Linked DNA regions of Neodiprion lecontei. Each later gene encodes a partner of the first gene's protein in a complex. Links are inferred from orthologs where the notes say so. Each region holds a gene or a part of one and is shown in the gene's direction. Other genes may lie near its edges.

Region 1 (6,602 bases):
GTGTGTTTTTTAACTATTATTTTGCGCATACTTATGTGAGTGGAAGACATTTTCTAAGTTTCTTATGTTTCGATTAAAACGTACGATAAGTTTCGCGGATTCGGCTATACATTTTTATTGTTAATTTTTTGCTGTGATTGTAATCCTCCTGTAATCCGCCGTCGTGGGGGTGCGTTGGAAAACGTTTATATTACTGTTATATGTTACAGAGATAACTAAAAAAAAAAACATATTAAACTTGCCGAAATTATCCGGAAATTTTTGACGCTACCTCCCGGACTAATCGAATGATCCAGTGAGGAAGTGATCGAGTGATCGAGTAGGGTGGCCACAGACCGAGATAACCGGGAACAGTCAGGAAATGTCATCTATCGGGAGAAGTCAGGGAATTATGATGGACCATAGGGAAAGACGTACTTTCTTTATAAATCTTTTGCAACCCTCAACTATGCTTCGTAAATTCAGTTAAGCTAACTTTCGGAAATAGAATCGTTCAATTTCTAATTATTCGTTTGAAACAAAGCAATACTATGTGTTTGTAGATCCAAATTTATGTATTGAAGATGTATCTGTGTATACACGGCTTCTGGAGCTTTTGGTCGTAAAAGCCGACCAACATTATCTAATTTTCGTGGGAATAACGTCAGGGAGTTCTGAATTTGTTTATGGGAAAAGTCAGGGAATTATATTTGAGCAAAATGTCGCCGCTCTGATAATGCGAATCGATTGATCGCGGCTTTAGCTTAGCGATTTCGTAAACGGTATACGAAAAAGTAAAGCACTCTCGATGTGTTAAGCCTTTAGGTTTTCGATCAATTTTTTTTACCGAGTTTTCAACTGAGTTTTCAAGTTTAATTGACCGCGCCTTTTGCGCGTTGACTTGATACCTTTTGATTCTGAGAGAAAGCGTGGCATTTGCAAGCCGACGGTCAATTCACGGGGATAAAAATTGCAGAGTGTACAGTGATAGTAGAGAATCTTGTCGTGAGTATTTATAAAACATACCTGAAGTGTACAAAAGTATTTTTTTGGTGATTTTATTTTATTTTTTTTTCAAGGTAATGAACTAATTTTTTTTACAAGCATACCGTTTTTTACAAGTCCTTACTCGAACAAAATATTTATGCTAATAATTCCAGATTTTTATTAAAAACATGTAGACTTTTTCTTGAATCATAGAAATGCTAGAGTAGAAGACTGTTTTCACAAATGTTGATATTGGGCTCGACATAGTTTTTGTCGATGCACGCACTTTTTTCATTGTGCTAATCGTAACTTCGTCTGTTTCAGCTAATAAAACTTTTTGTCTGTTTCAGCTAATCAAATCTTTTGTATTCCCGATGAAACTTTTTTCACCAACATCTGAAGCGATTTCTGCTATGATTTCCGAAATTGTCAATAAAGCCTTCGTAAATCCTGTTAAAATCGAATTGAAATGTGTAAAACGTCTGATTGGAAAAATATCTCACCCCAGGTGACTTGGTAGTGTGTCTTTTTTGAGGTGAAATGTTTCCTCGATCAGCAATATTTCATGGCACTTCCCAATCGACTTTTGCAGGACTTATCAAGGATCTGTTTAAAATTATGAGGATTCTAGCACAAATTGATTTCGATGTTGGTAGCAAAAGTTACGTCGGAATTACTTCAGTTGGTATTTCCGATGCATCCCAAGTGTTTCCGACGTAACTTCCGTTACCAACATTAGTTTAAGTGTTTTAAGTATTATTGTGTAAGAATGATGTGATTGTTTTATTTCTCGCGGTATGTATGTACAATGTTGACCAATGAAACTTTGCAGTCAATTTTCTTCCAAATCATTCCTGCTGCAATACATCTTTTGTCAATATATTTGTGATTTATTTCGTTACTTCCAATCTTGGAGGATATAGACATGGAGGGAGCCTGGTACACCCTTCTGTGTAAGTGGAAAATGGTAACGAGAAGGAAGTAGTACTACATTCTTTTTCTGTTTTGCAGGCTTAGAATGCTTTTAAGCTTGCAGGCAGCACTCACGCTCGTACCACAGAACCCCGGTGCCTGGCTCTAAGGCTTTGTTAGTTTGACGTGTCCGTAGTCACATACCGGAAGCATATAGGCATTGAAGTGTTACTATTGTTGTACAAAGATACCTATTAAGTTTCATTTATTTACTAAAATCATGTCGCTGAAACGTTGCGTTTCTATCGGACTTTTCGGGGCAAATGCCCGTTCCAGATTTATAAGTTATATTGTTTCGTTTGAAAATATGCTAAACATTGATATTATTGACTGTTTATTTCAATAACTTGACCAATAGGCACTAGTGTATAATATGTATTCATATCATTCGGATTATATCACGGCACTCAATTACGATATGTTCGCACCTACCATAGAAGAAGACCTCATGTATTATTACGACGTTCCTCTCTCTTATTGGCTCGGGGGCACTTTTTCAGCGTGTTGCTTCCTTCCTCTATGTCTATCGGCTCTAAGCTTCTAATTAACAATCTTAGAGTTTTTAATTCTTACGATAAAAACGTTTATGAAGACCGCTAACTCAACGCTGTAGTTTTGAGTTTTTGGCGCGCGGCATTCCACGAGCGTTTCCCTTGTCGTCGACGGCGTGACGCTGCAGCATCAATTTGACGCCCGTGAAAATTCAGCCCAGCCTGCAACTTGGATTGAAAGATGTCATAATTTAGTTTGTATGTACTGACATCAAATATGATGGATTATGAATTTAAAGTAAAAACCCAGAAAGATCGTACGAAAGTTGAAGATTTGTTCGAATTTGAAGGCTGCAAGGTTGGAAGGGGAACGTACGGTCATGTATATAAGGCGAGGAGAAAAGAAGGGTTAGTTTATTCTAACTTATCTAACCTTCAATACTCAAGTGATACGTTCCACGATCGAATATTTACAATACAAGTTGTATGAACCGTTGAGCAATATAAATAGACAAAGTCCGAATAGTCAAAATTAAGTTTTGTATAGTTTTTACGTTTTCTGTTACTTCATACGTCTTTAATTTTGACCAATATTATAGTATTTCTGGTTGCCAATTCAACATTCTTGTATCATTCCACATTTAAAATCTTATTAAACACAGATTTTTTTACTTCAGAGTTCCTGACAGCGAGTTAAAATCACGTCCTGATACTAAAGATTTTGGTCTCAAACAAATCGAAGGGACTGGGCTTTCTATGTCAGCATGTCGCGAGATAGCAGTGAGTAGAGCAACTGTACATAATGACATTTTGATTTAAACGTTTCTAACTTTTGCATAACACTTGGGAAATGACTGGCGATTTTAAGCTATCTACAAATTGTCATTAGCTATAAGCGAGGAAATACAGAAATAGGTCCTTCGCTGATTGATGTTGAGATCTGTCGCTAAAGAGACCAAGTGGCATCTCTTTCACTGCAGTTGCTAAAAGTGACTTGGGTCACATGTTTTTTCTTTGTGAAATGTCACTGAAAGTTGTTTCTGATACAATACCACCATGTATCAGTTTTCGATGGTTCCAAAGTCTTCAAAAGTTAAGAGTATTGAAAAACCTCAAACTTTCTGGATTGCAAAAGTCAGACAATTGTCGGAATGTATTGTGGAATATACATCAAAACTCTGTAATGATCCAGTCACTCATAACACTTGGTCTTCACTAAAGTCAGCCTTTCACTGAGGGTGAAGTTTCCTTTAATTTCTCCAAGAGGATAGGCAGTATCAGTAACCAATAATATTTGATGAAAACTAATCCCTAAAACTTGATGAAAAACTTGTTGAATAAGTTTTTTTTTAGTTTTTTTTGCTATAATTTCCACAGAGATGATAGATTCAGTGAATTGAGACATTTCAAAGTTAGGTATTTAAAATTAATTAGAGGATCCTAAGATGCGGAAATAAAATGTCAGTAGAAACTATAATATAAAATTTTTTCCTCAATTTTGATGTTCCTAATGGTAACTAAAAAATGCTAAAGTGACCAGAGAAAGTATTATTGCTTTAGAAAAAAATGATTTTTTTTTTTTGGAAATATCTGAAATCTATATTGTCCTATATTTCTTTAAAATACACATATCAGCTTTGAACCCTTTGAAGTCCTTTGATTGGGCCTTTTTAGGGGAAGTCAGAAAATTTGCAAAAATTTAGTCCAATGTACTTTATTTCCAAGCCTGTGCAAAAATTTTTGGTGAAAGATTTTCACTTGAGATTTTAAAGCATTTAGTAAATGTAAATATTGAAATTTTTCAAATCGTGGATATTCTTCATGTAGAGTGCTGAAAATTAGATCCCATTATTGTGTAAAAAAAGTGGTGCTGTTACCATTGATTAACCATTAACTTCCCTTAGAAGAAATGGTGGAATTTAGCAAATTTCCCATGAAGTATTTATCTGCACAAGATTACTGATTTAAATACATGTACTCATCTATGCCAATGCCATATGTATAAGTAATTACATATATATCACTATTACACATTATCTGCCTCTGAAAACCGTAATCATGGTTCTACGTTATAACCTGTACATTGATAGGAAGCTCTTAAAGTAAAGTAAGCGGTTTTACGCTACCGACAGCAGAACCTTTACTGTGGGCTTCATTTTTTTATGAACATGTGTCGTCTACTCCATGATTTGTCATTACAAAGAAAACTCATTGAAAATACAGAATTTTAGACCTAGAAATTTGTCAATTCTAGCGGATCTTGATTAAAATATTTGTGCGACTATGTCAGTTTCACAGATGTTTACCAAGTTTATTTGGTAACTCGTATAGTCACTATTTGAACTCAGATTAGTTTTTTTGATTGAATAGTTATTTTAAACTATAAATTAGTTGAAGGCTGGAGTTGACTCAGAAGTAGACATGATTATTACTAGAATCGTTCAATTCTGCAGAAAAAGTGAATCGTCAACCCGTCGAAAATATTGCATTTTTTGTCACTGGATACCTTGTGTAACCTATATCCAAAACACTCAGATTGAAATATAATCTGTACACAAGATTTTTGGATAATAACGACATGTTTTTTTCCCTCAAATCTTATAGCTCCTTAGAGAATTGAAACATACAAACGTCATAACATTGATACGTGTCTTTCTATCACACAATGATCGGAAGGTTTGGCTGCTTTTTGATTTTGCAGAGCATGATCTATGGGTATGTCAATATTCAATACAGTTTTATAATCTAAAATGCATTATCAGAATATTTATATTTTACAATCATAATTTAATTTTGGGTTTTTAGCCATGAAATGAATTAAGTTTCACAAATCTTCTTTTATATTACCGTTCCTTAGTACAGTCATACTTGACATGTACTAATACTTATTCGTAATATTTTAGTATTCATTTCTGATCTGGTTCTGAATGGTCACGATATTATCATGATCATTTGTTGTGTTATTTCTGTGTTCCTTTCCCAATTTATACTTATATCACGTCATCCAATATTGTAATATAAAACCAAGGATATAGAAAGAAAATTATTACTTTATAATACTAGCGGTCTTTCCTCAGAGAATTCCATGCATTCATATACTTTTTGGCACTGTATGCTGGGAGTAAGGTATTTACAGATTGGCCAGAAGTTTTATTTTTTAAATTTAAGCATACTTTTTTGTCTGAGACGTAACATAGAATATTAAGAAAAAGACTCCCAGTTACAGCCTCTGAAAATAGTTTGTACACTTCATAGATTTCACTTATTGTTGAACAAAGTAAAACATCATTTTGAAAAATAGTATCAGAAAAGGTTCTTCAGAAACAACCTCTAATGAATACTCTTAATTTCAGCATATCATAAAATTTCATAGAGCAGCCAAAGCGAATAAAAAACCTGTTATGGTACCGAAGGGTATGGTGAAGTCGCTTTTATATCAGATATTAGATGGAATTCATTATTTACATTCAAACTGGGTTCTTCACAGAGATCTAGTAAGTTGGAATTCGAATATGTAGAACAGTGATGTATATAGAAGTTGGCTATTAAAAATCATCTTAATTATCTGCTAAAATAGCCAAGCAATTTTTCGATCGATTGTGTGTATAACTAAGTATATCTTCAGAAACCTGCCAATATACTAGTGATGGGAGAAGGTGTGGAAAGAGGGCGAGTAAAGATAGCTGACATGGGATTCGCACGTTTGTTCAATGCTCCCCTTAAACCCTTAGCAGATTTGGATCCTGTGGTCGTTACGTTTTGGTACAGAGCTCCGGAGCTGCTGCTGGGTGCAAGGCATTATACAAAAGCAATTGGTATATACCCATACTTACCTGTACAACGGTATTCACAATCTCATAAGAATTTTAATTTTATTTATTTTTTAAACATCCTTAGATATCTGGGCAATTGGATGTATATTTGCGGAATTACTGACATCAGAGCCCATATTTCACTGCAGACAAGAAGATATCAAGACAAGTAATCCATATCATCACGATCAGCTCGATAGGTAAGCTTTTGAAGTATATTGTAGAAGCTGACATTGTACTTTCGGAAACTTTAAGCCTTTCACTGCGACTAAGAAACTGCGTCATAATGTAAGTGAGTCTGTCGTGAAAGCGCATAAATATACTAGGAACATACTGTAAAATAATGGCAGATAGCAAATGA
Region 2 (6,825 bases), on another chromosome or scaffold:
AATTTGGTGTGTCTCCTTCATGCCGACGATACTATCGGTGCTGGACCAAGTTCTCTGATATACGTGCCTGATCTAATCTACAAAGAACGCGAGCCCTGTTTGGACCGTAAGTCAATGCTCACCGATACTTTCCAAATCAATCAATTCGTGAAATGATAACTGTAGCTATCTTTTTAATCATCCAAGTGAGAGTCAGATGCACGAACGAAAGCCTTACCGTTGAATTGAGCACGGATGACGCCTTCTGGGGCAGGTTGTACGTCAGTGGATGGGGCGAACGTTGTGGAGTGCAAGGAAGTGGTAAAAACCTGACATCCCTGAGGCTGGTTTTACCGCATCGCGAGGATCTCACTATGGGCAGAACCATCAAATGTGGACTGAGCCCTGTCATATCCGTGAACAGCCGTAATCGGTATATTCCCGAGACTAGTCCGCAATTTACTTTTTCATTTCTCCATCGATTGTTGAACTTTCGATATGCTAAAAGTGATATTTTAATTTAATCGAACGCCTACAGGAGCCGCACCATAGCTTGGGCCACCGTTGTCGTGCAGTTCAATCCAATAATTCAGAGACTTGGTGACCAGGCGGTGAGAGTTGGGTGTTCCCTGGACGGAAATGACGACCCCCCACAGCCGAGAAACATCACAGTACATTCAGACGTACATTTTATTGACCCAAAGTGAGAATTGTGGTGTTTATTCTATTTTCACAGTGTCTCCATAGAAAGTTTTAATCCAGAAGTATAAGAGCGCAAGCATGGCTTAGGTTTTAATCCATTTTTCGAATGCATGTTCTTTTATAATCATTACTTTCCAAGCGCTGGCTTACCACCGATCGTTTCAACCGTCGTAAACTCATCATCGGAGGCTCCGATGGTAAGGATGAGGATACTTGATGAGAGCCTTTCGCGCGACGCGACCGTCACTCAGCTGGGACAGAAGTTGATTCTGAGGATCGAAATAATTCCGCCCGACGGTATGATGTTCTTGTCGCGTATATATTTTTATCGAGAGTATTCCTTATACCTAGATAGTTGATACGCGAACGACGCTTCGCCCGCAGGTAGGCAACTGAAGTGACATCTTATACATAATAAGCTGTAATAAGTATCCCAATGTAACTTCGGTTGCCTATCCGCCGGCGAGTGTCTTTTGCATAGTTGACCTTCTCGAAATCCTTCCTGTACACTTTTGTGAATTCCATTTGAAACCTTAACGTGTAATTTTAAGACTAAACGTAAATTTCAGGCCCATTTGACATTTTTGCCGGACATTTGGTCGCCAGCAGTGCTGGAGGAGATTCATCCTATCTTCTGCTCGATGAAATGGGATGTCCAACTGACACGAGCACCTTTCCAGCTCTGGTACGAGATGTCACAGACAACAGTTCACTTGTCGCAAAATTCACTGCCTTCAAGTTTCCCAATAGCCAATTGGTCAGGTTCAACGTGGTTGTAAAGTTTTGCACCGGAAGATGCAAGCCGGTATGTATTCAAGTTATTATGACGATTTAAGACGTTACTTCATCAGCAGCAAGCCACCCTATAATGTATACAACGATTCCATTGTATGGACATTATTTGATCTTTCCGTCAAGGCTCACTGCAGCAATGATGAATATTCTTACGGAAGGCGGCGTAGAGAGATATCTACTGCACCCACAAATGCCAATGTCACCGAAATAACACCGAAGACGATTCCCGATAAAATTCCTCTCCAGTTCTCGATATTCGTTCATAGCCCAGTAGTTTCACCAGATCCTCTTCTGTCGCGGGACAGTTCAGCACCAGACACCATCCTTGTTGCTGGTGGTCGTAAGTACATTAATTTTTATCTTTCACCCATTATATGGCGTTGTGGTGATTTTAATAGTATCACCATCATCGTACGCGTCATATCACTTTATTCTGGAATTCCAGAAATACTGTCAAATTTTTTGGAGATGCGGATATAAATCTTGATTATTTCAGAATCGTTGGATGGGCTGCTTTGCGTTGACGCTGGCCTTGCCTTGGGTCTCTTGATTTTTTGGCTTATCGTTCAAATAATGTTGACGATCGGTTGTTTGGTGGCTGTAAAACGATACCGACGATTAGCTCGTCGGGCGGAAGAGGATCGTGCCGATATATTGGCCAGGCATCTTTATGGTATTCACGGTGGTAATTTCGAAGTTGCCCGACGTGTACGGTGGGCTGATCACAACAGCTCATCCGTCAGCTGATGCCGTTTTTAACATCATTAGTAGGGAAGTACCAGCCGAAGTTCAGGACTTCCGAGCTGTTGAGATAGCACCATTCCAGATTCCACGCTACGTTTCGTTTACATAACGTGCAGGTGGAACGTGCAGCGGACGCTGATCGTCTTTGTTTTCACCGTCTCGCCAATGTATTAACCACGCGGATAAAACAACCGGAAGGTTCTTATGTATAGGTGTGAGTGTATTATTGAACGAATTGTAATGTAGTGTTGGAATATGATCAAACCACTTTTATCATTTACCTGTTTGAATTATTACACATCAATATGTATACAAAAAAAATGTACAACATTCTGGCTGACGTGGTATAATTGGTATAATCGATGACCATATTGTTGACTTGTAATTAAACTATTCATGCAATCATAGTTGAAGTTGCAAAGTTGTAACGGCTGGGGTATTGCCTATGTTTCTTTTCTTCATGTAGTGATAATGAACGAAAACCATGTGCATATCCATTACCAAAAATAAAGACGCGTCACGTGCGGATTTACTAACGAAACGCATATTGAAAAAACATGTAAATTGGCGCAAAGTGCAAAGATGTATGACTATTAATAGTAACTGTATTGATTATCAACTCCGGATCAACTCTTATTCATTACCGTGCTTTTCCGGTAACATGATTTTATCGCCTTGTCGGTAATTGCATTACGAAGGTTTCAGTCGGTGAACGTGCTATGCCAATGAAAAGTTAGATGTATATTTGTCCGGAAGTGTCTAATGGAGTATCCTATCTCACGTATCTTACACCCGATGTATTTCAAAAAAGAGTCACCGTCGGAATAGAATCTCGGCTGTGATGATTTGTATACAATTGTCGCACATACAGACGAATCAGAACACAAAGATAAAATATTTGTTAACGAACGAAAATGAAAGTGGGTACGAAATATCGCTCAGTGGTAATATAGCCGTTGATATATCGGAGAAGTATGGCCGGAAATTTTTGGCACAGTTCTCATCAGTAAGTTGTAATAACCTGAAAACGCCGGTGGACCATATGCACAATGATAAGAACTGACAATTCATTGATTATTTAATTCTTGATTTTCAGCCAACAATGGTTACTCGATAAACAAGATTTAGTTCGAGAACGTCAGCACGACCTTTCTATTTTATCCGAAGAAGAGTATCAAAAACTATTTATTTTTTTTTCAAACTGTAAGTAAAGTCAAAGCTTTCTTTGTTGAAACTTAGTGAAATCTGGATACTTTGAACTATCAATGTATACGCTATATCATATATGCGTTTACTTAATTTTATAGTGATTCAAATATTGGGTGAACAGTTGAAACTTCGACAACAGGTGATAGCGACAGCCACCGTCTATTTTAAACGGTTCTTTGCCCGCAACAGTTTAAAATGTATTGACCCGTTGCTGTTGGCCCCAACTTCCGTGTTTCTGGCTTCTAAGGTAGAGGAATTTGGAGTCACATCGAACACCAGGCTGATTACGACATGCCAGACTGTCGGTGAGTTTATCCTCACGTGGCAAAGTCTCTGCACACATCACAGATCATTTCAACATTGTACTTTCTTAAATGGCTAATCTCCATAACCTTTATTACAGTAAAAAACAAATTCAACTATGCCTACTCTCAGGAATTTCCCTATAGAACCAATCACATTCTGGAATGTGAATTCTATCTTTTGGAACACCTTGACTGCTGTCTGATAGTCTATCAACCGTATCGTCCACTATTAACACTTGTACAAGATGTTGGACCAGACGATCAGCTGCTCACGCTAGCTTGGCGTATAGTCAATGACAGCTTGCGCACAGATGTGTGTCTGCTCTATCCCCCGTACCAAATCGCTATCGGTGAGACACTTAAATCATATAATTTGAAACTATACTGCGTTCAACGAGAGGATGACACAGCGTCGTACAGGTTTGGACAGTGGGGGTCGGATGGAGGTAGCGGAGCTCGCTACTCAATATCGTACCTATAATATCGTAGATTTGTGCCCTGCACCAAAAGGCCACGCTCTCTGAAATATCGCAGTCTCATTATATCTCAAGTAAATTTATTCTACTTCCTTTTGCTAATTTTCTGCCATCGGATGTATCAATCAATCAGAATAACAAAACTACAATTCAAATTTCACACGTTTGAACTGACTCGCAACTTTGCAACGACTGACGCTCGACGGTTTGAAATGATTCATCAGGCTTCAAATCAACCGTTAGATTTGAAGTAACTGTTAAGTTTGAGTACCTGGTTATCCTTGTTGGCTGTAGCCGGGTCTGGCTAGCTGCAAGATCTGTCCAGTTACCTGGAGTGGGTAAAATGGGTCGCGTATTAGGCGAAATCCGACTGAACTGGACGTGTTTGGCTTCGTAAGTGTATCGTTCTCTCCCTGAACGGAGTATAATAATGTATCAACATTGACCAGTTTAGTGCAGTTTTTCTTCTTCATTTTTTCTTTTGTTTAATATATTTCTACGAATAGGTTGCCTGCAAATTGCCTGTGTAATACTGCAAAAAGATTTAAAGTCATGGTTTGCCGAGTTGAATGTGGATATGGAAAAGATTCAGGAGATTGCCAGGTACATAATTAACTTATACGAGTTGTGGAGAACTTATGACGAGAAGAAAGAAATACAAGGATTATTGGGCAAAATGCCGAAACCAAAGGCTGCACCGCAACGCTGACATCAACCTCCTGCGGATCCTTTGAACTGGGAATCACGTCAGGAGGATCGTTTGTACAATTAATTACTTAATCTTTATAAAAAATTATTGGACCGTAAGGAATGAGAGAATATTATTTTGCTCTCTGCTACATTGACTGTGAGAATATTTGGGAAATTACGATCATCAAATATTGATAAATTTAATCAAATTTATTTCCTTATTTTCGTAACCTTTATCATAGAAATTATTTATATCATTGACACTGTAATCCCACTAGCTTCCAGGTCTTTGTAACTTCTTATCAGGACTGGCATAATTATAGTTATCATCAAGAGCATTATTGTTACTCCAACGCCGCTTTATTCCAGAGTGATCGGTGGCAGACTTTTGCAACCACTTTACCTACAAGTGCTCAAAAAGTGAAAATAGTAGTCTCATTCAGGAAGTAAATAATATTAACACAGTCTGAACATGTGAGACATACTGTAGTTGAAAGATGAAGAATTCGCCAGCAGGTAGCAATGCCCAAAGCAAAGCAAAAATTGAAATCAACTGCTTCCTTTCGAATAACGCTTCCAAAACTTTTTGACGTCATCATGACCCGCTTTTGTGACAACCATAGTCCGCTTTCTGTAAACAAAATGGTGAAAGAATGATCATCTCATTTTGAATATACTATGTTGTTTAATATCAAATAAGAATAAATGAAAATTAATTATACCAAAGTTAGACAATAAGCCCACATCCCTATTCTGTATTTTATATAATAACATTACCTTTCGCTTTGCCAGATTAGAACTTGGGTGGTGAGCGCGTGATCTCTGAGTACTTCAAAGTCAGTCTGTGAAAGAAACTGACTATACAGAACGCCCTCGCTAAATATAAATCTATTTCTTTCGTTTTCCCACAACTTGATTTGATCCACTATGGTAGGGGGCAAAGTTGGTGGTCCTAAGGCAATCATCTTAGGATGGGCATGCTGATGTAGGTATCTGTACAAGAAATGATTTTAGAATTGGGGCATTAATGAAACATCGAATAATGTGCGTATACCAATATTATTACGTACATACCCAACGATTTGTTCAGCTGTAATGCCGCTCTTCAGAGCTTGCCTCACTGAATCTCTTGTTAAAATGGATACAACCAAGTTTGGGAACCTGAAAACGGCCAAAATTACAAATCAGTAGTTGGTTTTCTGAAATTGAATAGGTGAAAAAAACTGATATTGCTTTAGACAATTTTTTCCATGCTTACCTGTAAAGCATTTCACAAAAGAGACCAAGCAGAGCGACTTGCAAATTAGAATTGGTATAAGCGTAAACTCTGTAATTGGTTTCCACGACTATATATCCTTCCTTCTCTAAGTCACTTGACAGAGGCTTATTTTGACCTGTGGCAATGTTTAGTGCTAGCCTGGTAGGGTAAAATCTAAGAAAATAAAACATACGGTATTACAATTTTAATATATTTATAAAGTATTTTCAGTATGTACACGCAGATAGAATGTGGAATAGATTCATCAGTTTGTTGAAATAATTACCTTCCAGCCTTACGTTTTCTTTGATAGACCAGACCAAATTCTCTGAGGTGCTGCAAAAATGTCAATAGTCCCTCTGACATACCTTCAGTACTGTAATCTTTTCCCAATGTCGAGAAATTCAATTGAAACAAGAAGGTTAGACAAACGACCAGATCCAGACCCCTGGCTTCTATAGTGTCCAAGTATTGAAGAATGAAGTACCAGACCTGAAAAGTAGTCAAATCATAGCTAATTGCTACTTAGTATTACGAGTTGGTACCTTGGAACGTATGGTGAAATAAAGAATACACAGGGTTACAAAGAGCTATCGCCCCCTAGGCTACCAATAGTACGAGGAATACACAGGTAGCTTATGGTGCGATAATCCCAAGTCACTTTGTA

The links. The genes of interacting proteins can lie anywhere in the genome.
Region 2: cyclin-dependent kinase 8 (region 1) and cyclin-C share a complex: the UniProt entries of both Drosophila melanogaster proteins name them as parts of the cdk8 module of the Mediator complex. The link is inferred for Neodiprion lecontei from reciprocal best matches to the Drosophila melanogaster genes Cdk8 and CycC.

Annotation. Positions count from the first base shown.
Region 1 is NC_060263.1:23,751,468-23,758,069, forward strand, and holds the start of cyclin-dependent kinase 8, read left to right. Parts: upstream 1-2,622; 5' UTR 2,623-2,706; coding exon 2,707-2,837; intron 2,838-3,106; coding exon 3,107-3,209; intron 3,210-5,033; coding exon 5,034-5,144; intron 5,145-5,782; coding exon 5,783-5,923; intron 5,924-6,054; coding exon 6,055-6,244; intron 6,245-6,326; coding exon 6,327-6,441; intron 6,442-6,602. UniProt on the Drosophila melanogaster protein: Component of the Mediator complex, a coactivator involved in regulated gene transcription of nearly all RNA polymerase II-dependent genes.
Region 2 is NC_060264.1:26,472,876-26,479,700, reverse strand, and holds cyclin-C, read left to right. Parts: upstream 1-3,043; 5' UTR 3,044-3,194; coding exon 3,195-3,226; intron 3,227-3,316; coding exon 3,317-3,423; intron 3,424-3,527; coding exon 3,528-3,734; intron 3,735-3,832; coding exon 3,833-4,084; intron 4,085-4,371; coding exon of another isoform or gene 4,372-4,380; intron 4,381-4,716; coding exon 4,717-4,919; 3' UTR 4,920-5,309; downstream 5,310-6,825. Other genes in the region: uncharacterized protein LOC107217955, read left to right, coding at 1-106, 187-412, 518-682, 821-978, 1,251-1,486, 1,600-1,816, 1,973-2,223; general transcription factor IIH subunit 4, read right to left, coding at 5,450-5,531, 5,678-5,893, 5,975-6,061, 6,159-6,332, 6,445-6,650. UniProt on the Drosophila melanogaster protein: Component of the Mediator complex, a coactivator involved in regulated gene transcription of nearly all RNA polymerase II-dependent genes.